3 linked regions of the Oryctolagus cuniculus genome follow. The protein of the gene in region 2 interacts with the protein of the main gene of each other region in a biochemical or structural test. Links are inferred from orthologs where the notes say so. Each region holds a gene or a part of one and is shown on either strand. Other genes may lie near its edges.

Region 1 (7,031 bases), on a different chromosome or scaffold from region 2:
CTGGACACCACGTGGCACTCGGACACAGCCCGGGCGTGAATGCCACGGCAGGTGGCCCGCGTGCGCAGCAGGCCCAAGGCTCCCGGGGAGCCCTGTGGCGGGGGGGCAACTGCTCCCAGTGACTTCTGTGGCACCCAGGCCTGGGGCAACACGGGTGTGGCGCGGCCCAGGCTGGCAGGGCCTCTGCCCTCGCTGGGACCTCCCTGTGTGCGGCGGGGACACGGGGAGACACCAGGGCCCAGGAGAGCGCGGCCAGGCCGAGGCAAGGAGGGGCCCCTCCAGGTTCACAGCCAACATTTGGGGCCCGCCCTCAACCCCTGGGAACAGGTAAAAGAACAGCCAGGTGCCCACGTGTGTCCTGGGGGCAGGCGTGGGGACAGCTAGGTACCCACGTGTGTCCCAGGGCAGGTATGAAGATGGCCAGATGTCCACATGTGTCCCAGGGCAGGTGTGAGGACGGCCGGGTGCCCACATGTGTCCCGGGGCAGGTGTGAGGACGGCCAGGTGCCCACGTGTGTCCCGGGGCAGGTGTGAGGACGGCCAGGTGCCCACGTGTGTCCCGGGGCAGGTGTGAGGACGGCCATGTGTCCACGTGTGTCCCGGGGCAGGTGTGAGGACGGCCGGGTGCCCACGTGTGTCCCGGGGCAGGTGTGAGGACGGCCGGGTGCCGTGAGGGCCGCCTGCCCCCTGTACCTTGGCCTTGCCCAGGAAGTCCACGGGCTCCAGGTGCTCCAGGTGCCGCCTGTGGGGCCGGAAGACCTCACCCCTGGGGACCTGCCTCGGCTGCAGGGGCGTCTGCTTCTGCGAGGGGGGTGTGGAGCTGACGCAGGCCACACCTGCCCTCCTCCCCTGCACCCTCCCCTCATCCTGTCTCCTCCCCTTCCCCTCCTTCTCACTCCTCACCTGCCCTCCTCCCCTCCCCTGCACGCCACACCTGCCCTCCTCCTCCCCTCCCCTGCATGCCATACCTGCCCCTCCTGCCCTCCCCTGCACACATCTGCCCTCCTCCCCTCCCCTGCACACCACACCTGCCCTCCTCCTCCCCTCCCCTGCACACCACACCTGCCCTCCTCCTCCCCTCCCCTGCACACCACACCTGCCCTCCTCCTCCTCTCCCCTGCACATCACACCTGCCCTCCTCCCCTCCCCTGCACGCTACACCTGCCCCTCCTCCTGTCCCCTCCCCTGCACACCACACCTGTCCCTCCTGCCCTCCCCTGCACACCACACCTGCCCTCCTCCTCCTCTCCCCTGCATGCCATACCTGCCCCTCCTGCCCTCCCCTGCACACCACACCTGCCCTCCTCCTCCCCTCCCCTGCATGCCATACCTGCCCCTCCTCCCCCACCCTGCACACCACACCTGTCCCTCCTCCTCCCCTGCACACACCTGCCCTCCTCCTGTCCCCTCCCCTGCACACCACACCTGCCCTCCTCCTGCCCCCTTCCCTGCACACCACACCCACCCCTCTTCCTCTCCCCTGCATGCCCTCCTCCCTTGCCCCCTCCCCTCTCCGTCCCCTCCCCGACACTCCTCACCTGCACCTGGTCCAAGGCAGTGTCCAGACCGCTGTGGGCACCCTCTGGCCACTTGGACACGGCCTCCCTTAGGCTGCTGGCAGCCTCACTCCAGAGGCCCAGCTGGCTCTGAGCGGCCGCCACATTGTAGAGCACCTGGGAGTGAGGTCCGCGGACGTCAGGGACCAGGGCCCACAGCTGCTGTCACGAGGGCAGCTCTGGGTGTCCAGCTCCCATGGGTGCTGTGGGCGCAGATCAACTGAGAGCAGCTGGGGCATGCTGGGAGGACCCCCCGGGCGCTCTCCTGCTGAGCCAGAGGCCACTCTGTGGCACATCCCCTGGCCATGTCACCAGCTGGCCCATGGCCATGCCCCTGCCCCCAGGGGTCGTGTGTCCCTGGGCCCTACAGGGAGGGAGTTTCATGGCCAAGCTGGACTGAGCCGGGGTCACTGGGGCCCTGGTGACAGGCAGGCCTCCCACAGCCATTTGGTGGCCAGCGTCCTCTGGGGACCTGCAGCAGGGCTCTGGGGGGCCTCGGCCAAGCCGCCCTCACCCTGACCTCTGGGCACCCCTGGGTGGGCACTGGCCCTGGCTTCCAGAACCCCCCAGGCTTTGCCTTGTCTTTCCAAGAGGCTGCAATGCAGGAGTTCCCCGGAGGGTGAGGGTCCTCCCAAGTCCCCTCCCTCAGTGCCACGCTGTTCCGGGAAGCAGCTGGGCCCGGAGCCCCGCCCCACCCTCCCCTCCCTGCTCCCTGGCCCGGCCCTGCCCTTTACCCGCAGACCCAGTCCTGGTCGCACCTGCCTGCTGCCTGCACCTCCTGGGGTGCAGCGCCCGCCTCAGGCCAGGGGGGCCCTCAGAGCACCTTCCCCCACCACACAGCGGCGGCCACGAGCCCGCGAGCCCAGGGCCAGCGCACCTCCCAGGCCAGCCCGCCTCCCAGGCCAGTGTACCTCCCAGGCCTGCTCACCTCCCAGGCCAGTGTACCTCCCAGGCCTGCTCACCTCCCAGGCCAGCACGCCTCCCAGGCCTGCTCACCTCCCAGGCCTGCAGCCTGAACCGCAGGCCCAGCTGCGTGTAGTCAATGGTAGGGTTGCCCCTGAGCTGCACCAGGGCCAGCCGGAAGTCGGACAGGGCCTCCTGGAACCTGCGGGCGGCAGTGTGCCCTCAGCAGTCCCCGGGGAGGGTGAGCTGGGTCAGGGGCTCCCACCCCCGCTCTGGGCCCCTGCTGGAGGGTGGCCGTGGTCACCTGGGCCCCAGCACTCAGTGGACACTCCAGTGGGGTGAAGTGGGTCGAGGGTTGTGACGCGAACGGGCAGCGGGATGTGTGGTCCCGGGTTCCTGCCCGGCTCCCACCCTGGGGCCCGGTCTGCACCCCGACTCCGCCTCCTGGAACCGCCACCCTCCGAACTCCGAGCTTCCTCTCACCCTGGCCCCGCCCCCTGCCCCGGGCAGCAGATGGGGATGCCCCAGGGCCTGCCCGGGCCCACATGCTTCCTCCAGGACCGGCCACTCCTCCAGCCCTGCCCCAGCCACACCCACAAGACGGGCACCGCCTCGCCATCCCTGCGGACGCAGACGAGGCAAGGCCCGAGGGCAGAGACGCCACCAGCAGAGGCGGGGGGCCAGACCCCTGTGCTTACCTCTTCAGCTGGAAACTGGCCACGCCTCGCTGCAGGAAGCCAACGGCCAGGCAGGCGTCCTTGGTCACCGCTTGATCGAAAGCCTGGTGACAGAATGCGCGTGGCTGAGGCCTGGAACCTGGTCTCAGATGCCACAGCCATGCCCAGAAATCCAGGAGGGCCATGAGCCGTCTGCACCTGCCCGGGGGCCTTCACAGCTGGTCCCCTGTGGCCACACCCCGGCTGCCCAGTGTGGAGCCCCAAGGTGGTGCCAAAGCCTCGAGGAGAGAGGAGCTGGAAGGGGCTTCCTCCAGGGCCCTCGACAGCCCACACTCAGCTGCACGGGCACCATGGGACCGAGGGGGCACCGCATCTCAGGCAACGGCCTGCGCTCCCCCAGGGGACAGCAGCCACCAGTTAAATATGGACCATGGCTGGGGGAGGGGCTGGGGTCTCGCTCTAGCAGAGCTGGCTGAGCCCATGGCTCCCCTGCCGCGCCCAGCGTCACAGGGCATGGGACGCAAGGGTCACACAGCCGCCACCCGCTTCTCACAGTTTCCCTGTTTCTAACGACAGGCTGTCAGTCAACTTTACGAGGGCAGACGAGAACCGACAGGGCCCAGGTAGAGCCCGGCTGCGGGAAGTGGTGACTCACCCTGGATGCCTGCTGCCCCCGGGATAGCCCACGTCAGTGGGACTTGTGGGTGGGCAGCTGGAGGATGAAGGGGTGACAGAGGGGTCCCTGCTGGGCCGGGCCCGGGTTTCCCCGGGGCATTTGCAGGATGTGGGTGCGGGGAACGTGTGGCTGGAACCCTCCTCCCCTGCAGGTGACCGCCCGGGGACAGTGGGGCCTGAGTCACCGGCAGGGCGCCCCAGCTTTGGTCACCACTGTGTCCACGCACGGGGTGATGGACAAGACACATCTGGAAGGGCACGGGCAGCTGTGGCTGCCACCCCCGCCCCCACCGAGGCTGAGCTCCCGCTCTGTTGGAGAGGCAGGTGTGCTGGCGGGGGGGGGGGGGGGGACTTCGACTGCCCATCACGGCCTCTGCCAAGCTCTTGCCCCGTCTGCCCGCGGCCACCTGACCCGAGGAGGGAGCACGCCCACACCTCAGCCGCCCTCAGCGCAGCCCCCGCCTGCCTCAGGCGCCCCCCACCCCCAGGAAGACGCCTGCAGAGGATCTACCGGGAAGAAGGGCTTCGCGTCCCTCTCCCACGCCCCCGTGAGACTGCCCCAGGGACGGGGTCTCTGCCAGCAGCCCCGGGCGCCCATGACCCGGCTCACCCGCAGCGCAGCCTCGGGGTCCCCGGCCAGCAGGTGCACGCAGCCCACGTTGAAGCTCATCCTGGCGGCAGGCCCTGGGACCTCCGAGAAGAGGCGCAAGGCGCCGGGCCAGTCCCCGCGCGCCACGGCTTGCACGCCCCGGTGCCAGGTGCGCACCTGGTCCCCGAGCGAGGACATGGCGACACTGCACCTGCGGCTCAGGTAGGTGCTCCAGCCCGGGCGCGCAGGGCGTGACCGCGGCACGACCGAGGGAGGGGCCCGGCGGCCCAGCAAGGCCGGCAGACGGCCGGGGGCCTGTGGGGGCGCGGGCCTCGCCTGTGCAGTCGCCCCCTGCTGGCAGGCAGCGTCCGGTCCCGAGCCTGACCACGGCCCGGCCCCAGGCAGCCCCGCCCACTCCGCCCCAGCCGGCCCCGCCCAACGCCGCAGGCCCCGCCCGCCTCGGCTCTGGACACACCCCCAGGCCCGCCCGCCCCTGACGGAGCTCCACGCGCTCCCGCGGCGCGGCGCGTTCTCGTGGGCGTCTGTGCGCGGGGAAAAGGCGTGCGGACCCGCGGCTGCCCTTTGGCCGAGGTTCCAGCCTTAGAGTGGACGGCGCGCGGCTCCCTCAGGGGCGGTTCCGGGGCGGCTGGACCCCGAGGCCGAGGCGCGGGCGCCCTCCGCGGTGGACAGCGAGCCCAGCGGCTTCCCCCGAGCCCGCCGTGCGGGCCCCGCGCGGGACACCGGGCCTCAGGGCGGCTGCGTCCCGGTCGCCGCGCTCTGCCACGGCGGGTCCTCCGAGCCGCGCTCGAGGCGGGCTGGCGATTTCCCGCTGAGGACGAGGAGAGGCCGGGGACGGGGCACCGCGGGGCCGCGCCCTGCAGGAATACTTGAAAATTACTGTTACTGCCGCCAGAGTCGGAGAGCGCGCGCCCTCGTGGCTCGCGACAGCCCGGGTTGGGCCGCGGGAGCCCCCGCCGCACCTGCCCCCCCCCCCGCAGGCGCCCGCGGGAAGCTGGGCGGGGACTGGGCCTGCGCTGCGGGCTGTGGGCCTGAGGATGCGAGCTTGCAAAGCTGGTGGCTTCATCCGTCAGCCTGTCAGCCGTCAGCCAGCCACCAGACAGCCGTCAGCCAGCCGTCAGCCTGTCAGCCATCAGTCAGCCCGTCAGCCATCAGTCAGCCATCAGTCTGGCAGTCATCGCCGTCAGTCAGCCCGTCAGTCGTTGCCAGGCGACAGCTCACAGGCGATGAGAGCCAGCCCTGCAGAGCTGCTGTGCAGTCAGTGAGATAACCCAGCCCCCCCAGCCCTATGTCCCCCCCACAGACCCCCCCAGTCCTGCTCCCGGCCACGGGTTCCCCACGTCTGCTCCCGCCGCCCCCCACAGCTGGTCCTGTCCACCCAGGGCCCGGGGCTGCCCGTGCTCCCTCTGGCGGTGTGGCGGGGCGCCGGTGCTGGCATCTCCTATGGGCACTGGTTCCAGTCCCGGCTGCTCCACTTCCGGTCCAGCTCTCTGCTGTGGCCTGGGAAGGCAGCGGAGGATGGCCGAGTGCTTGTGCCCTGCACCCGCGTGGGAGACCTGGAGGAAAAAAAGAGACCTTCCATCTGCGCTTTCACCGCCCAAATGGCCACAGCAGGCAGGGCGGGGCCAGGCCACAGCCAGGAGCCAGGAGCTCCATCCGGTCCTTGCAACCTGCTGCGCCACAGAGCCGGCCCCAGGGCATGGTTTTCAGGAGTGTTTATGGTTCTTCCATTTCTACACTCTGCTGTAGGAGTCGGAGGCCCTTCGTAAGAACAGGTACCATGGGGCTGGTGGCGCTAGCCTGTCTGTGGGTGACCCACCCGGCCTGGGCCACCCGGCACGGTGCCAGGAAGGGTCCGCCACAGCCTGGTCCTGGTCCATTCCTTTGCCATGGGGTCTGGCGCGGCTCCCGGCCCGGTGATGGCGCTCACAGGGAAGCAGGACGCAAAGAGGAGCTGGAGCCAGGGCTGGAGCCAGCGCGGCTACCTCGTGCGCCCGGGGGGTGGCCGGGGGCGGCCGAAGACGGCCCAGGTGCTGGGGCCCAGCACCCACACGGGGGACCCAGAAGAAGCTCCTGGCTTCAGCCTGGCCCAGTTATCCTTCAACATGTGATGGCTGCTTGTCTGTCCGACTGGAACTCGGACTCGTGTACGAGGTAGATTTTATGTTTTGAATGATCCCAATAAAGCCATAAAAAACAGTGCAGTGCCTGCTGCAGTATCGCGTGCAGGCTGAAAGCCAGGCGGGCAGTGCCGGGAGGGGCCTGGGCGCCCCCTGGCCCAGGGTCACTGGAGAAGTCGCCGGGGTGCCCACCCTGCTACACCTGCAGTGAGACTGGCGGGGTGAGTGCCGGCTTGTGGGGCACACGGCCTGAGGCCGGGCTGCGGCCCCTGCACCCGGCGCCCCGCTGTGCCTCGAGGGAGCCCAGTGTGATTTCGCCTTTCCTACCAGGCACAGTGGCAAGACAAATGTGCTAATTTGAGTAATGTGTGTTATTCACCAAGCATCCTCCAAGCGTGTCATCTCCAGGTGCAATTGGCAACAGGAAAATCGATGGGCAGACATCCTGCTCGGCTTGTCCTGTCTGCGTCCGTACTGGGAGGGCTGGGGGCAG
Region 2 (7,148 bases):
CCCCTCACTGCCCAGCTAGGAGAGGAGGGTCAGAATCCTACCAGGGGCCAGCGCTGTGGTGCAGCGGGTTAATGCCCTGGCCTGCAGCACCGGCATCCCATATGGGCGCCGGTTCGAGACCCGGCTGCTCTACTTCCTGTCCAGCTCTCTGCTGTGGCCTGGGAAAGCAGTGGAAGATGGCCCAAGTGCTTGGGCCCCTGCACCCACATGGGGGACCCAGAGGAAGCTCCTGGCTCCTGGCTTTGGATCAGCACAGCTCTGGCCATTGCTGCCAATTGGAGAGTGAACCATCGGATGGAAGACTCACTCTCCCTCCCTCCCTCCCCCGCCCCCCCCCCCCCCCCCCCCGTGTAACTGACTTTCAAGTAAAATAAATAAATCTTTTTTAAAAAAATCCTACCAGTGCTCCCCAGGGACAGGGCCCCCTCCTGGCCCGGGCTCAGGGCCACCTCTTCCAGGTAGGGAGCTGGAAACCAGGCTGTTTGCTGGTCCTCATTCGCCACCAGCCACCAGCCTGTGAACAAGAGGCAGGAGGGCGTCAGATCTCGGCCCACCGGGGTCCAGGGCAGCAAGGCCAGCGCCCTGACTGCTGGGGCCACTACCTGAGGGGTGTCGCAGCAGCACGTCCAGGCTGTCCTGGGCCCGCGCCTGGAAGGGCCTGCCCCGGGTGTCCTGGGTGTGGAAGGGCTGCAGGCAGTGCAGCCGCTGAACCTCCAGGCTGTGGATGGCAAGGCTGCCTGCGGGACGCGGCCTGGGCTCCTCGGGGGCCGGCAGGATCACCAGGCTGGCAAGGAGGGAGCCGGTGAGGGGGTGGGGACGGGCCCGCCACGCCCACAAGCCCACCGGTGGCTCCTCTTCCTCCACTAAGCCTCCCCCAGCGTCCGTAGGCCTCAGGGAGTTGGGTCCAGCACCTGCCAGGCGGCAACGAGGGCTCCAGGTCCAGGGGTTGTGGCGCAAAGAAGCCGGTGAGCGCTGGGCTCTGTGACACCCGCTCTGCGGCCGCCAGCAGCGTCCGGGTGTAGGTCTCCAGCAGCCGGAGGCGCGCCAGCCCGCGGCCAGTGCGTCCCCCTCTTGCTAACAGCGGTGCATCTGCAGGCACCAAGAGGATGCACTGTGGGGCCCACCCCAGGTCTTCCTGGCCCAAAAGCCTTTCCCCGCCCCACCCAGGACCCCAGGCCTGACCAGGAAGCTTGGGGAGAACACGGTCGCACTTCCGAAGCAGGCCCGCCTCCACCGGGAAGGTCTCCCTGAGGGTCTTCTGAGGACGAGAAGCGGGGTGTCTGTCCAGCTGCCCGGCCTCCAGGCAGGGCGTGGACCCCTCCCCAGGGTGACAGGGACGGGAAATCCAGGTGGAGGGTGAGGGAGGGAGACCCCATCAGGGTCGCTCACCTGGAGCCGCCTGAATTCATCCCAGCTCCTGCGCACCAAAGTGTCGCTGCCATCTGACCAGCGCACGGAGAAGGCAAACGTCTACGGGGGGTGGGGGGTGGTAGGGGGAGGTTGGGTGTGCCTGGGGCCCGGGCCAGGGGCATCCACTTACAAAGCCCTCGGGCTGGTAGGGGCGGGTCATACCTGGAGCCGCTCCATCTGCACCAAGGCTGCTGCGCGCACTGACACCGGGTGCCGGGGGACTGCCATGCCCGTGGCCGGCACGACTCAGGATGCTGGGGCAGGCAGGCAGCGGCTGAGGCTTCTGCGCTGCCAGCCGGAAGACTGGCCGAGTGGAATTCCCCGCGGACGCCCCAAGCCAAGTCCCCGGGAAGCCGCCCCGCCCCTGGGCCTTCTTCCGCGACCTGCAGGAGCCCGGCTGCGCAGGGCCAGGGGCCAGAGGCAGAGCTGGTGGAGAGAGGATGAGTCGCCCACCTGGAAGGGCCAGGCTGGGACTGCACCCGCCCAGGGCCCTCCCGAGTCTGGCCTTGGGCAGGGGGAGGAGAAGGAAGGGCTGTCTGAGGCCCACCTATCTGGGCTCACACACCCTGGGTAACCCTCCCCAGGGTGTGCCAACAGCTCCGGCTGTGAACTCACTGGCTGGACTCGGCAATTGCCGTCCAGAACCAATCGTTCAGTGCAACAGGGCTCTGGTGCTCCCTCTGGCTTAATCCTGGTGCCGAAGGAAGGACTTTGTGCCACCAAGTCGGAGCAGGAAGGTTGTGCTAAGTGAATACTCATGGGCTCACCCCAGGGGTTCACCCACAGTGGGGAGGCTGCATCTCCACAGTCCCTGTGGCCAGTGGCACTTGGGGGTGGTCACTGGGAATTCATGGTCTGTCACAGCTTCCGGCAAACCCACCTCTGGCATCAGGAGTGACCCCTTGCCCCTTCAGCCAGGGTCGGGGAGGGAGGCCCTGCACTGGCTGGACAGGGGGCTCACCCAGGGGCCCTACCTCTCTAGGCTGCGGCTTCCTTGTCCAAGCCACATCTAACCCTTGTGCCAGGTGCTTGTTCCTGGTGCCGTGTCAAGGTTGCCCCCCACCCCCCCAGGCCTCCAGGAAGCTGCCCTGCCTCAACAAAGATCCTTTGTGTGTCTGTCCCACCGGTTGCTCTCTAAAGCTGTCTGACCTTGCCGGTGCCAGCCCAGGCAGCCGAGGGGGCCCCAGGAGAGAAGCTGGAGGGAGGCCAGGTTTAATCAGATGGGGCTGGGAAGGATCCGGAGGCCCCCTGCGCCCACGCTGGCTCCACCCAGCTTCCGCTCTCTGGACCCCTACTCTGTTCCCTCACAGTTCAACTCCAGCCGTCACCCACCCCCATCCCTGGGGGGTTTGCTGGCCCCTGTGAAAGCCACTCTCCACGTCACCGCCAGGGGTAGCTTCACAAAACAGACATGGGATCAGGTCAGGGAGGCTGTGCCGGCCCCTGAAGGGCACCCCTAGTCCCCACCCCGCCCCCGTTCTGTGCTGTCCATGTCCCCCGGCCCTGGGCTCCCAGACCCTCCCTCTCTGCCTGCGGTCACCCGGCCCTGCGTGGGCCCTACCACTGCTTGTAGGAACACTGACAGGTGTGGCTTTGGTTTGTCACTGTGCTGAACACCGCACGGAGTGACGGTCAGGGGCACTTTTGCTTCTTGTCCGGCCCGGTGCCGGGAACAGAGCGCGGCCCGGACATCCACGGAAGGACCGCGGGGAGGCGGGCGCCCCGTTGCCAGGGCGCCGGTCGCCGGGGAGGGACCGCGGCCCCGGGGTCCCAGGGAACGCTCTGTGCGGTCACGCCGGCCCCGCGCCGCACGCGCCGTTGCCAAGGCCCCGGGGGGCCAGCCTCGGGCGCGCCCCCCGCTGCGGGCACAGAGCCCGGCCGCGGGCACGCAGGAAGGTGCCAGCGGAGCGATGGGGGCGTCGCGGGCCGCCACCCGCACTGCGACCCAGCCTCAGCCCGAGTCCGCCGCGCGGCCGCGGCGCACCTTCCACAACACGCTGCTCTTCTACTGGAGGAAGCGCGAGCGCCGCCACGGACGGCGCCCGGCGAGCGCGGCGGGCCGGGGGGCGAGGCCCAGGGGCACCCGCAGCGCCCGGGCCTCCGGCGCCGCCCCCGCGCCGGCCCGGGCCCCCGGCCCGGCCCCCGCCGAGGCCCGGCCCTCCAGCCCCGCCGCGGCCAGCGCCCCGGCCTCCGGCCCCGCCCCGCCCCGGGCCCGGACCCCGGCCGCCGGCCCCGCCTCCGCGCCGGGCCCCGCCCCGGACCCCGGCCCGGCCCCGCCCCCCGCGCCCGCGGCGCGCGCCCCCGGCTCCTGCGGCCGCGCGCTGGCGGCGGCGCGCGCGCTGGCCTGGAGGCCGACCTGGAGGCCCCTCTGGCGGCCGAGCTGGCCCGGCAGGCGCTGCGCGGGCAAGATGGCGGCGCCCGGGGAGCCGGGGCGCTCGTACCGCGGGAGCCTCTTCTCCTTCCTGCCGGGCGGCGCGCGCCCCGAGGTGATGGACGACCTGGCGACGGACGCGCGGGGCCGGGGCGCGGGGCGGAGGGACGCCGCGGGCACTGCCGCCGCAGGCCAGCCGCCGGCCCCGGCCCCGCAGCGCGCCGAGGACGCCGCGCAGAGGCGGCCCTGCCGGGCCTGCGTGGACTTCAAGGCGTGGATGCGAACGCAGCAGAAGGTGCCGGCGCCCGCCCGACCTCCCCGCCCTTGGCTTCCGCGCGCCTCGGCCGCCCCGCTCAGCCGCGCGCGGGCCGGAAGCGCCGCAGGACCTGTGTGCAGAGCTGGGGCGGAGGAAGGGGGTGGCCGGTGGGCCTCCGTGTCGGGGAGCGCTAACTGACCCTTAGTCGGCCTACTTCTGCAGCGGGACACGAAGCTTAGAGAGGATTGTCCACAGGACCGCGAGGAGCTGGGCCGCCACAGCTGGGCGCTGCTGCACACCCTGGCCGCCTACTACCCGGACCTGCCCACCCCGGAGCAGCAGCAGGACATGGCCCAGTTCATCCATTTGTTCTCCAAGTTTTATCCGTGTGAGGAGTGTGCGGAAGACATCAGAAAGAGGTGAGCCGCGCTCGCCCGTGGAGCCGGGGCCCGCACTGCCTGCTGATGTCACAGAGCGGGGCAGAGACCATGGCCGCCCGGGCTCTGCGGCTCGCCCCGGAGGGCCGGCTGCCCTTTGCCCTAGGACTGGGGGCAGGCTAGGGAGAGCTGCACTTTGCCCGACTGTCGATGCTGATTGCTCTTTTTATTATTTGAAACAAACAAACAGAGAGAGACAGGTCTTCCATTTGCTGGTTCACTCTTCATGGCTTCAGCTGCCCGCGCTGGGCCAAGCTGGAGCCAGGAACTTCATCCCAGCCTCCCATGGGGGTGCAGGGGCCCGGGCACTTGGGTCGTTCTCCGCTGCTGTTCCCAGGGAGCTGGAGCAGAAGTGGAGCGCCCAGGACTGGGCCAGCGCCCACGTGGGATGCTGGCGTTGCAGGCCGTGGCTTAGGCCTTGCGCCCTGCCGGCCCCCGATTGCTGGTTTGAAAGCCTGGGAACCCACTGCTTTTCCTCACTGAGATGCCCGGGAGCTGTGTTAGGCATCTCCGGGCCGGACGTGTGGGGGCAGCCACGACAGTTAGAACCAGGCAGCCCTGGCTTGACTGGTTCACCAAGGCCTCCCTGGGGTGCTAAGGAGCGGTCCGCTCTGTGCCGGCTCCGCCCCGGCTGCACCTGCCTGGGGCCAGGGGCACAGGTGAGTGTTCCTGATTTCACGAGACTGTAAAGTGGCTGCCTCGTGCCCCGGTGCCTTGCCCTGGGCTCTGCAGGGTCCACCCTGGGGAACGCCCATCTCCGGACGCAGGAGGACGCCCCCCGGTGCCGCTGGCTGCAGTGCCTCTCTCTCCTCCCGCGGCGAGGCGCCGGCAGGGCCGGGGCCACCTCCCCCTTTTGTGTCGCCCCTACTCAGGATCCACAGGAACCAGCCGGACACCCGCACCCGCGCGTGCCTCAGCCAGTGGCTGTGCCGCCTGCACAACGAGGTGAACCGCAAGCTGGGCAAGCCCGAGTTTGACTGCTCACAAGTGGACGAGCGCTGGCGCGACGGCTGGAGGGACGGCTCCTGCGACTAGAGGGGCGGCCGCGGCAGAGGGGCGGGCCGCTCATTAAAGTGCGTCAGAGCCACAGCTGTCGCGTCTTCGTTGGGTGGTCCCAGGACACTGCCCTTCCGAAAGGAAGCTGCCCCCTGCGGGCACTCCAGCAGCCGGCCTCCTCTTCAGCGGGGGGCCTGGGCAGGGGTGTGCAGGGGAGGGAGGCAGGAAGGAGCGTCTCGTCGTCCAGGATGGCAGCCCGCGAGAGGCCGGGGCTCCCTCTTCCTGCCCCGTGAGGCCCGGCTGTGCCTCTCCCTGAGCAGTGCCGTGGCCCCAGTGGCTCTGTGCCGTTGCCACTTGGGGAGTGAGGCCTGGGCCTGAGTACTCCGTTGGGCCCAGCCCCATGGGGAAGTCTGGGGCGGAGTTTTTCCTGAGGTCGCCCAGCGTGCTGCCACGCCCCGCCTGGCACGGGCCCTCTGAAGGTGTGCCAGGACGGTGCCGGGCTCAGAGACCAGAATAAAGTGCTGGACAAGAGACTTGGACCTGGTTCTGGTGTGCTTTGTGCTCAGCTCTGCCCTCCTGTCTGGGGTCTGACCCCGCAGGGGCATGGAGAGGATGCCCGTGCAGGCGGCCACCGTGTTGCCGTGGCCTGGGTGTTCCAGTAGACAGGGAGGCCGATGGCTGCAGCGGAAGGGTCCGCTCTAACGGGGAGGGAGCGGGGCGTGCAGGGTTCAAGACCCCAGCAGATGTGGCTTTCACTCCCGGCTTCGGCAACAGGCAGCCAAGGTCTGGAGCCAAGGAGTGGCGTGGAGCGATGTGACCCAGGTGGCTGAGGTGGCCCCCAGCAGCACGCAAGGAACATAGACATGCTTATTTATTTAGCGTTTAATGATTTGTTTATTTGAAATGCAGAGTTACAGAGGAAGAGACAGAAATCTTCCATCCACTGGTTCACTTTCCAGGTGGCTGTAACAGCTGGGGGCTAGACCAGGCTGAAGCCAGGAACCTGGAGCTCCATCCGGGTCTCCCACACGGATGCAGGGCCCAAGCACTTGGGCCATCGTCTGCTGCTTTCCCAGGCCATTAGCAGGGAGTTAGACGCAGAGCAGCCAGGACTCGAACCGGCACTCATGTGGGATGCCGGCATCTCAGGTGGTAGCTTAACCCTCTTATCACAATGCTGGCCCCTCGTTTAAGGTTTATTTATTTGAAAGAGTGACACATGGGAGAGACAGTGATCTTCCATCTACTGATTCATTCCCCAAATGACCACAACAGTTGAGCCTGGGGCAGGCCAAAGCCAGGGGCTGGAACTCCATCTGGGCTCCCATGTGAGCCATCATCCACTGCTTCCCGGGAGGTTAGCTGGATCAGAAGTGAGTAGCTGAGGCCGGCACTGTGGCAGAGTGGGTCCCGGCTGCTCGACTTCCAATCCAGCTCTCTGCTGTGGCCTGGGAAGCAGTGGAGGATGGCCCAAGTCCTCGGGCCCCTGCATCTGTGTGGGAGACCCGGAAGCTCCTCACCTGGCTTTGGGTCGGCCTAGCTCCAGCTGTTGTGGCCATTTGGGGAGTGAACCAGCACATGGAAGACTTCTCTTTCTGTCTGTCTCTGCCTTTCAAATAAATTAAAAAAAAAAAAAAAAAAAATGGAGTAGCTGGGACTCAAACTGGTTCTGTTATGG
Region 3 (6,972 bases), on a different chromosome or scaffold from region 2:
GCGTGGCTGCGGCGACCCTTCGGGCCCACCAGAGGCCCTCCTCAGGGAGAGCAGGCTGAGCCCTGCGGGGCCGTGTGAGTAACCCGGTGACCCCGTGGCTCGCAGGTGGCGTACACGTTTGATGCTGGCCCCAACGCCGTGGTCTTCACACTGGAGGACACCGTGGCCGAGTTTGTGGCTGCCGTGAGGCACAGCTTCCCCCCCGAGTCAAATGGCGACAAGTGAGTGGACCCCAGTCCCATCCTGTGGGGGACAGGGTCCGTGCGGCCCCCATCCTGGGCCCCCGCGGCCACAGCCCCATGCCATCGGGGACGGGTCCGTGCGGCCCCCATCCTGCGCCCCCGCGGCCACAGCCCCATGCCATCGGGGACGGGGTCCGTGTGGCTCCAGCCCCATCCCATCGGGGACGGGGTCCGTGCGGCTCCAGCCCCATGCTGTGGGGAACAGGGTCCATGCAGTCCCCACCGCCCCAGCCTCATCCCCATGCTACTGGGGGACAGGGCCCGTGCGGCCCCGCCCTAGGCCCCCGCCGCCCCGGCCCCATGTGCCCGACCCCGTGCTTCCTCGTGTTAGGACACGCGCCAGCAATCAATCGGAGGGCGTGGCAGAGCCCTGGCGCTGGGACCACCACCTGTGCTGTGTGTGAGCGCACGCCGGGGGCTGGGGAAGGCCCAGGTGTGTGGGGGCCGAGAACGCCACCCGGCCCGGCCGGCCGGGACAGCCGCGGGCCGCACCAGACACCCCCCGTGGAAGCTCCGCCCACTCGCACCTGCTCACCCGTGCTGCCCCGAGGGGCCAGGAGCGAGCCAGAGCCTCCTGGTTTCTGAGACCCTCCCCTAGGGGACCCTGGCCAGGCCCTGGCGAGCTCTGCCTTGTGTCTTGGTAGAGTGGGCCGAGGGCTGACCGTGTCAGCCACGGAGGGGCCGTGGGGCTCCCATCCCCATCCCGGCCGCTGTGCCTCCAAGGACTTGCCTGAATGGATGCTGCCTGTGTGTGTGGCTGCACACGCGTGTGTTCCTGCGCTGCCCTGTGTAGACCTGCACACGCGTATGTTCCTGCGCTGCCGTGTGGCCGCACACGCGTGTGCCCGCCTTGTCTCCCAGGTTCGTGAAGGGCCTGCAGGTGGCGCCTGCACTTCTCCCAGACGACCTCAAGGCGGCGCTGGCCCTGGAGCCCACGCCCGGTGGCATCAAGTACATCATCTCCACCCAGGTGAGGCCCGGCCCTCTGCGTGACGTCATTGGGTGGGGGTGGGACTGAGTGGGCGGGGCTGCGGCGGGGTCCACCCCGAGCCTGCCCAGACTGGCCAGTGCCACGCCCCCTGCTCAGGGCTGCGAGACCCGTGCGCAGTGCTGACCCGAGCCAGGCGCCCGGCAGCGGGCAGCGGGCAGCGGGCAGCGGGGGCTCGGCTCCTGGTCGACTCGGGAGGTGGGGCCTGCACCTGGTCCCCTGCCTGCGGCCTCCGACCTCCGCCCTCCCTCCCTCCCTCAGGTGGGGCCGGGGCCTCAGGTCCTGCGGGACCCCGACGCGCACCTCCTGGGCTCCGACGGCCTGCCGAGGCCCGCTGCGTGACCGGACCCCCCTAGCGTGACGGGCGCGTCAGCGGCCCCCTGCAGCTGCGTGGCGTCTGGGCGGAGGGGCCGGGGCTGCCCCTCAAGCCGCAGCACCGCTCGTGCTGGGCCTGCAGCCCGGCCCTGGACGCTGGCCCGGTGCAGGTGGACTGGCCCTTCGCCAGCCGGCGGGGCTGCGGGCGGGGCGTGTGTCAGGTGGAGCTGTGGTGACCGCCCCGGAATAAAGCCAGCATCGCTGACCGCCTGCCCCGCACGCCTTCCCGACAGCCCCAGCAGGCCTGCCCCGTGGACAGCCCTCGGCTTGGAGGGCGATGAGGGTCCCGCCCAGTGCTCAGGGCGGGGGTGGGGTGGTGTCCGTCAGGGCGGGGTCTACCTGCTCGGCCGCCCGCCTCACCCAGGGCTGTGGCCCCTGCTGCTGGGCGTGTCCAGGGCCAGGGGCACATCCGCCTCCCCAGGGAGGGAGCCCGGCAGCCCAGGGCGGGGAGGAAGCGGTGCTGGGACCCCTGGTCCCCGCCGTGTGGGGGCGCTGCCCTGTCCTGGGGCGGCACAGGCCGGCTCCCTGGGAGCCCCGGGCCACACGCGGGATGGGCAGAGGAGCTGGGGGCAGGGGCACAGCTGGGGGGGGGCCTGGGGCAGGGAGCCGTCCGCAGGCGGCCCAGCTGCGGCCCGGGAGGTCGGCCCGGGGGGCGGGGCGGGGGCGGGGCGGAGGGCGGGGCGGGGCCGACCCGGCGGCGGCGGGCGGCGGCGGCGGCGGCGCGGGCCTCAGTGAGCCTTGGCGACCGCCATGGGGCAGATCGAGTGGGCCATGTGGGCTAACGAGCAGGCGCTGGCGTCCGGCCTGAGTGAGTGCGAGCCCGGCCGCTGGGCCCGGGCCGAGATCCTGATGGTGTGGGCGGGCGGAGATCGTGGGGTGGGGCGGGGGTCGCTGCGGCCCGGGAGCAGGGGGAGCACGGCGCCCCCGCCCCCGCCCCGCGGAGGAGGAAGCTGCCTGCGGAAGTGTTGCTGCGCCCGGTGGTTCCGGGAGCCGCCGCCCCGCCTGGCTGGGAAACTCCCAGGGACGACGATGCGGGGTCACGGGGGAGGGTCCCGAGGCGGAGCCGGGCAGGGGTCCCCAGCGGCACGACCCCTGCACCGGGTGCCCGGCAGGGTCAGCGGGGTTAGGGCTAGGCGACGGTGACCCGCCCAGAGCGCCGTGCTGCCCGGTTTGCTTTACCAGGGGCCTGGGGCCGGGTACTGGGAGAGCTCCCAACCCGTGCAGGCCCAGCCCCCAGGAACCGCCCAGCTCAGCTGCGACCCGACCTGACCCTCGGGAGGGAGCATGTGGGGGGGTGGGAAGGGTCCCAGCTCAGGGCCATGCCCTGTGCACTGGGGACAGTGAGCTTGGAGGGCCACACCCTGAACAGGCTGTGGGGCAGGCGCCCACGGCCTCCTGTTAATCCCCATGGCTGAGAACATGGCAGGTCAGTGTAGGGAGGCCCCACGGGACCCTCACCCACTGCCCCTGCTCTGTGCCAGACCCCCTGTTCCCTCCCAGGACGCCCCCAGGAGGCAGACAGCGGGGGGGGGGGGGCTTGGTTCCGATGCCTGTTAGAGGAGCAGCGACCACAGGCGCCCACTCCCATCCAGGCCAGAGAGGTCACGAGGGGTCAGCGGGACACCTGCCGGCACGTCTCCCAGGCCTCCTGCCCTGCTCCTCCTGGGGCTGTCCGGGCCGTCGGCAGCCCGCACGGGGACGACCACCAGGGACGGAGCAGCTCTGGCCGCGCCAGCCCCTGCCTCCCTCCTCACCAGCGGCACGGGGACCCCGCCAGGAAACCGCTTCCTCTGCCCACGTCCCCTGCTCCCAGGCCCCACTGCTGTCCCCTGTGCCCCACTCTGCGCCAGCCCACAGCCTCGGCGCTGGCTTTAGTCTCCCCACGCGAGACCACGAGCCCCCGCCAGCCCACGGCGGTGCCTCCGGTCACTGCTGGAACTGGGTTAGCTCAGGGCTGCAGGTGCAGCCAGCGGCTCTGCCCCGTGGCGGATAGACAGGAGGCCCCGAAAGGGGACGTTCCGCCCTGGAGATGAGTCAGCCACACCGGGCGACTGGGTGACCGCATGGGGAAGCTGCCCTCCTCCCCAGCACACGCTCCAATGCGCACCAAGAAAGTTAATATGTAGCCGAGCTCGGACCCGGCTCAGGAAGTCTGCACCAACAAAAGCGGGGAGACCTGGGGGGAGAACGCAGCCCGGGCCTGGGGCTGCCCTCGGGGACGGGCGCTTAGGCAGCGGGCGTCCAGGGCCTCAGCCGAGGCCGGGCTTCGGGCAGGATGCTGGAGTCAGACCAGGAGGGCAGCTCGGGGGTCTCCGGCCAGCACAGACCCCAGCCCTCGGCCACGCCACGTGTGGGCCTGAGGACCGGTGAGCACCGCCCCGACAGGCCTCACAGAGGACTCGGCAGGGCACAGCCGGCCCACGCCATGCACAGGGCCGCACGCGTGTGCAGGGGCGGAGCGTGTTTAAGACACCTCCAGAGCGGAGGGACGTGGGGGTGGGGGGTCTGCCTGGCCACAGGTGCAGTGAAGGAGAGCCCTTGGCGGGTAGCCCGGCCGCTCCACTTCCCACCCAGCTCCCTGCTGTGGCCTGGAAAGCAGCCGAAGGCGGCCCCAGAGGCCCGGCCCCTGCACCCGTGTGGGAGACCCGCAAGAAGCTCCTGGCTTGATCTGGCCCAGCCCTGGCCATGGCGGGCATCTGGGGAGTGAACCAGCAGACAGAAGACCTCTTTCTTCCAAATAAAATGAAAATAAATTTTTCAAAACCAAAAGCAACAAAGCGAGGAAAACGCAGTGGATGAGCTGAGCTGGGAGCCTCACAGCGTGGACGCGGGCACAGCGCAGGCACCGCCACACGCGTGGCGACAGCTCCAGGCACACGGCCGAGGGTGACAAGGATGAGCCGGCGTCCTCCGCGTGGACACGCGGGCCGCAGGCCACGGCAGCACATCCGGAACACTCGGTGGCCAGTGAGCTTCCCAGCACCGCAGCAGGCGCCCACACACAGCCAAGGCCGCTCCCGAGTGCAGGACCCACGGGCCACGTGGCCACCACACCCACTGCCCGCACAGGAGGCCACGCCCCAGCCAGGCGGAAGGGGACCCCAGGGAAGCGGGGGTTGTGGGGAGGAAGAGGCTGTTGGCTGGGGGCGGGGTGGTGGAGGTGGACACCGAGGTCGGCTCCGGAGGGGCTGTGACATCGCGGGGTCGTGTCGCCTGACGGGTGGGCAGGCAGCGGGGCAACGGACACTCTGGCCCCTAGAGGGTCGGCCAGGTGAGCCCAGGGGCAGGCACGCTGCTCGCAGCACCGGTCTCAACGTGGGAGACCCCACTGGGCCCCAGCTGCCTGGACAGCGGGAAGGACACTCGCGGGACGGAGCCAGCAGTGAGCGCCAGGGGCCGATCGCGTGCGCACAGCGGGCACTGCCGCTCTGGCCGGGGCTGCGGGGAGCTCCAGGTGCCGAGCGCCGGCTTCTGTCTGATGAGGACAGCACCAAAGCAGAACCAGGAATGGCCACACGGAGCGAGGACAGGGCCAGGACGCCGACGCTGTCAGAGAATGAGGTCACCGAGCACGAACGTGCCACTCGCCGCCTCCGCCCGGCTGCGCCAGCCCCGTGCCAGCGGCGTCCAGATGTGGAGATGGACACGGAGCATCGAGGGTGCCAGAACGAGCTGCCGGGGCGAGGGGCACCCCGGCTCCACGCAGCCAGAGGAGCAGACATGGTCCAGGGCCCCAGAGCACTGAGAGGACAGGGTGACTTTAAAAAGAAATTTAGGCACCGGCGCTGTGGCTCAGCGGGGGAAGCCCCAGCCTGCAGCTCCTGCTCCCATGTGGGCGCTGGTTCGAGACTCGGCTGCCCCACTTCTGATCCAGCTCCCTGCTACTCCTGGGAAGGCAGCGGAGGACGGACCAAGTGCTTGGGCCCCTGCACCCATGTGGGAGACTCGGATCAAGCTGCTGGTTCTGGATCAGCGCAGCTCCGGCCGCTGGCAGCCATGTGGGGAGTGAACGGGCGATGGCAGCTCGCTCTGTCCCTGCCTTTCAGATAAATAAATCTTAAAAATTATTTCAAAGGCAGAGTGACAGAGAGCTCTCCCATCCCCAGCTCACTGCCCCGCAGCCTGAGCAGCCAGGGCTGGGCCAGGCTGAAGAACCCAGCCTCCATCCGGTCTCCCCGTGGGCACAGGGGCCGAGCCCCGGGCCGGCTTTCCCAGGCCGTGAGCAGGAGGCTGGATCAGAAGCGGGGCCGCCGAGTGCCGACACGGGGTGCACACACGTGTGCCGTGGTCACGCTGACATTCACGGGTCGTGCTCATGTTCACGGATGCCTGCGGGAGTTCTGGGAGTTCTGGGAGGGGGCGGTGACGGCCGCGCGGCCTCAGTGCCCTCACAGGAGCCACCACGGATGCCGTGTCACGTGCACCTCAGCTCCACGCATCTGTGCCGTGAGTCCCGGCGGGAGGCGTGCACACGTGTGCTGCTCCCAGGAGACCCCGCAGAGCCACCCGAGCCGGGAGCGAGCGAGGGGTTGGAGCAGCTGACCCCCACCCAGGATCCAGGGCAGGGACCACCAGCATGGGACAAAGCGGAAACCCGGAGGGCATCCGGGATCCGCGCGACCTCTAAGCCCAGGGCAGCGAGCCAGGCAGAGCAGGGCCGGGGTCCACCCGGGGCCTGCGGCCTGGGCTCCAGGGAGGCGCCCACCGCGGGTGCAGGAGGGCAGGGGCGCGACGGGCCGCGGTGGGAGCCTCCTAACCCTCCCCCCCAATCCCGCAGTCCTCGTCGCGGGAGGCATCGTGGCCACGGCAGGGCGCTTCACCCAGTGGTACTTCGGGACCTACGCCATGTATCCTTGTGCGGACCGCGCGGTGGGGGGCGGGGCAGGGGTCAGAGGCCACGCCCGCCTCCTGCCTGGCACCCGCAGCTCCTTAACGGTGACCCAGCGCGGCGGGGGTGCTGGTCTGCCTGCTGGAGTACCCGCGGGGCAGCAGGGCCAAGGGCTCCACCCTGGAGCGATGGTGAGTGGGCGGGGCGGGGCGGGGGCGGCTCCCCTGCGGGGGCGGGGCGCGTCCTGAGCCGGTGTCCACCCGCAGTGGACAGCGCTACCTGACGGCCGTGCTGAAGCTCCTGGGGCCGCTCAGCAGGAGCTACTACTTCCGCGCCGCGCTGCACCTGGCGTGAGTTACAGGCTCGGCCGCGGTGGGGGCGGGGGCGGGGGCGGGGGCGGGGCCGCGGTGGGGGCGGGGGCGGGGCCGCCCCCTCTTCCGGGACGGAACCCGGTCCGGCTCTGGCCGAGCTTAGCTCCCGCGTCTGCTCCCTAACAACGTGGGGTTCTGGGGTGCACTGGGCTCCCCTGGCTGCCTGGA

What was found.
Region 1: the proteins of NOXO1 (region 2) and NOXA1 form a complex in vitro, tested with the Homo sapiens proteins (2 studies listed by IntAct). The link is inferred for Oryctolagus cuniculus from reciprocal best matches to the Homo sapiens genes NOXO1 and NOXA1.
Region 3: the proteins of NOXO1 (region 2) and CYBA form a complex in vitro, tested with the Homo sapiens proteins (3 studies listed by IntAct). The link is inferred for Oryctolagus cuniculus from reciprocal best matches to the Homo sapiens genes NOXO1 and CYBA.

The regions. Positions count from the first base shown.
Region 1 is NC_091432.1:237,590,094-237,597,124, reverse strand, and holds the start of NOXA1 (NADPH oxidase activator 1), read right to left. Parts: upstream 4,684-7,031; 5' UTR 4,599-4,683; coding exon 4,422-4,598; intron 3,241-4,421; coding exon 3,158-3,240; intron 2,662-3,157; coding exon 2,553-2,661; intron 1,674-2,552; coding exon 1,539-1,673; intron 802-1,538; coding exon 694-801; intron 1-693.
Region 2 is NC_091450.1:33,242,731-33,249,878, reverse strand, and holds the start of NOXO1 (NADPH oxidase organizer 1), read right to left. Parts: upstream 4,260-7,148; 5' UTR 4,237-4,259; intron 4,077-4,236; coding exon of another isoform or gene 3,819-4,076; exon of another isoform or gene 3,767-3,818; intron 3,182-3,766; exon of another isoform or gene 2,972-3,181; intron 2,874-2,971; exon of another isoform or gene 2,385-2,873; intron 1,837-2,384; 5' UTR 1,639-1,836; coding exon 1,573-1,638; intron 1,471-1,572; coding exon 1,390-1,470; intron 1,259-1,389; coding exon 1,183-1,258; intron 1,090-1,182; coding exon 912-1,089; intron 785-911; coding exon 603-784; intron 515-602; coding exon 401-514; intron 1-400. Other genes in the region: GFER (FAD-linked sulfhydryl oxidase ALR), read left to right, coding at 3,819-4,076, 4,260-4,456, 5,347-5,509. UniProt on the Homo sapiens protein: Constitutively potentiates the superoxide-generating activity of NOX1 and NOX3 and is required for the biogenesis of otoconia/otolith, which are crystalline structures of the inner ear involved in the perception of gravity.
Region 3 is NC_091449.1:68,679,587-68,686,558, reverse strand, and holds the start of CYBA (cytochrome b-245 light chain), read left to right. Parts: upstream 1-2,289; 5' UTR 2,290-2,355; coding exon 2,356-2,413; intron 2,414-6,382; coding exon 6,383-6,452; intron 6,453-6,549; coding exon 6,550-6,624; intron 6,625-6,699; coding exon 6,700-6,783; intron 6,784-6,972. Other genes in the region: MVD (diphosphomevalonate decarboxylase), read left to right, coding at 106-221, 1,104-1,212, 1,492-1,572. UniProt on the Homo sapiens protein: Subunit of NADPH oxidase complexes that is required for the NADPH oxidase activity that generates, in various cell types, superoxide from molecular oxygen utilizing NADPH as an electron donor.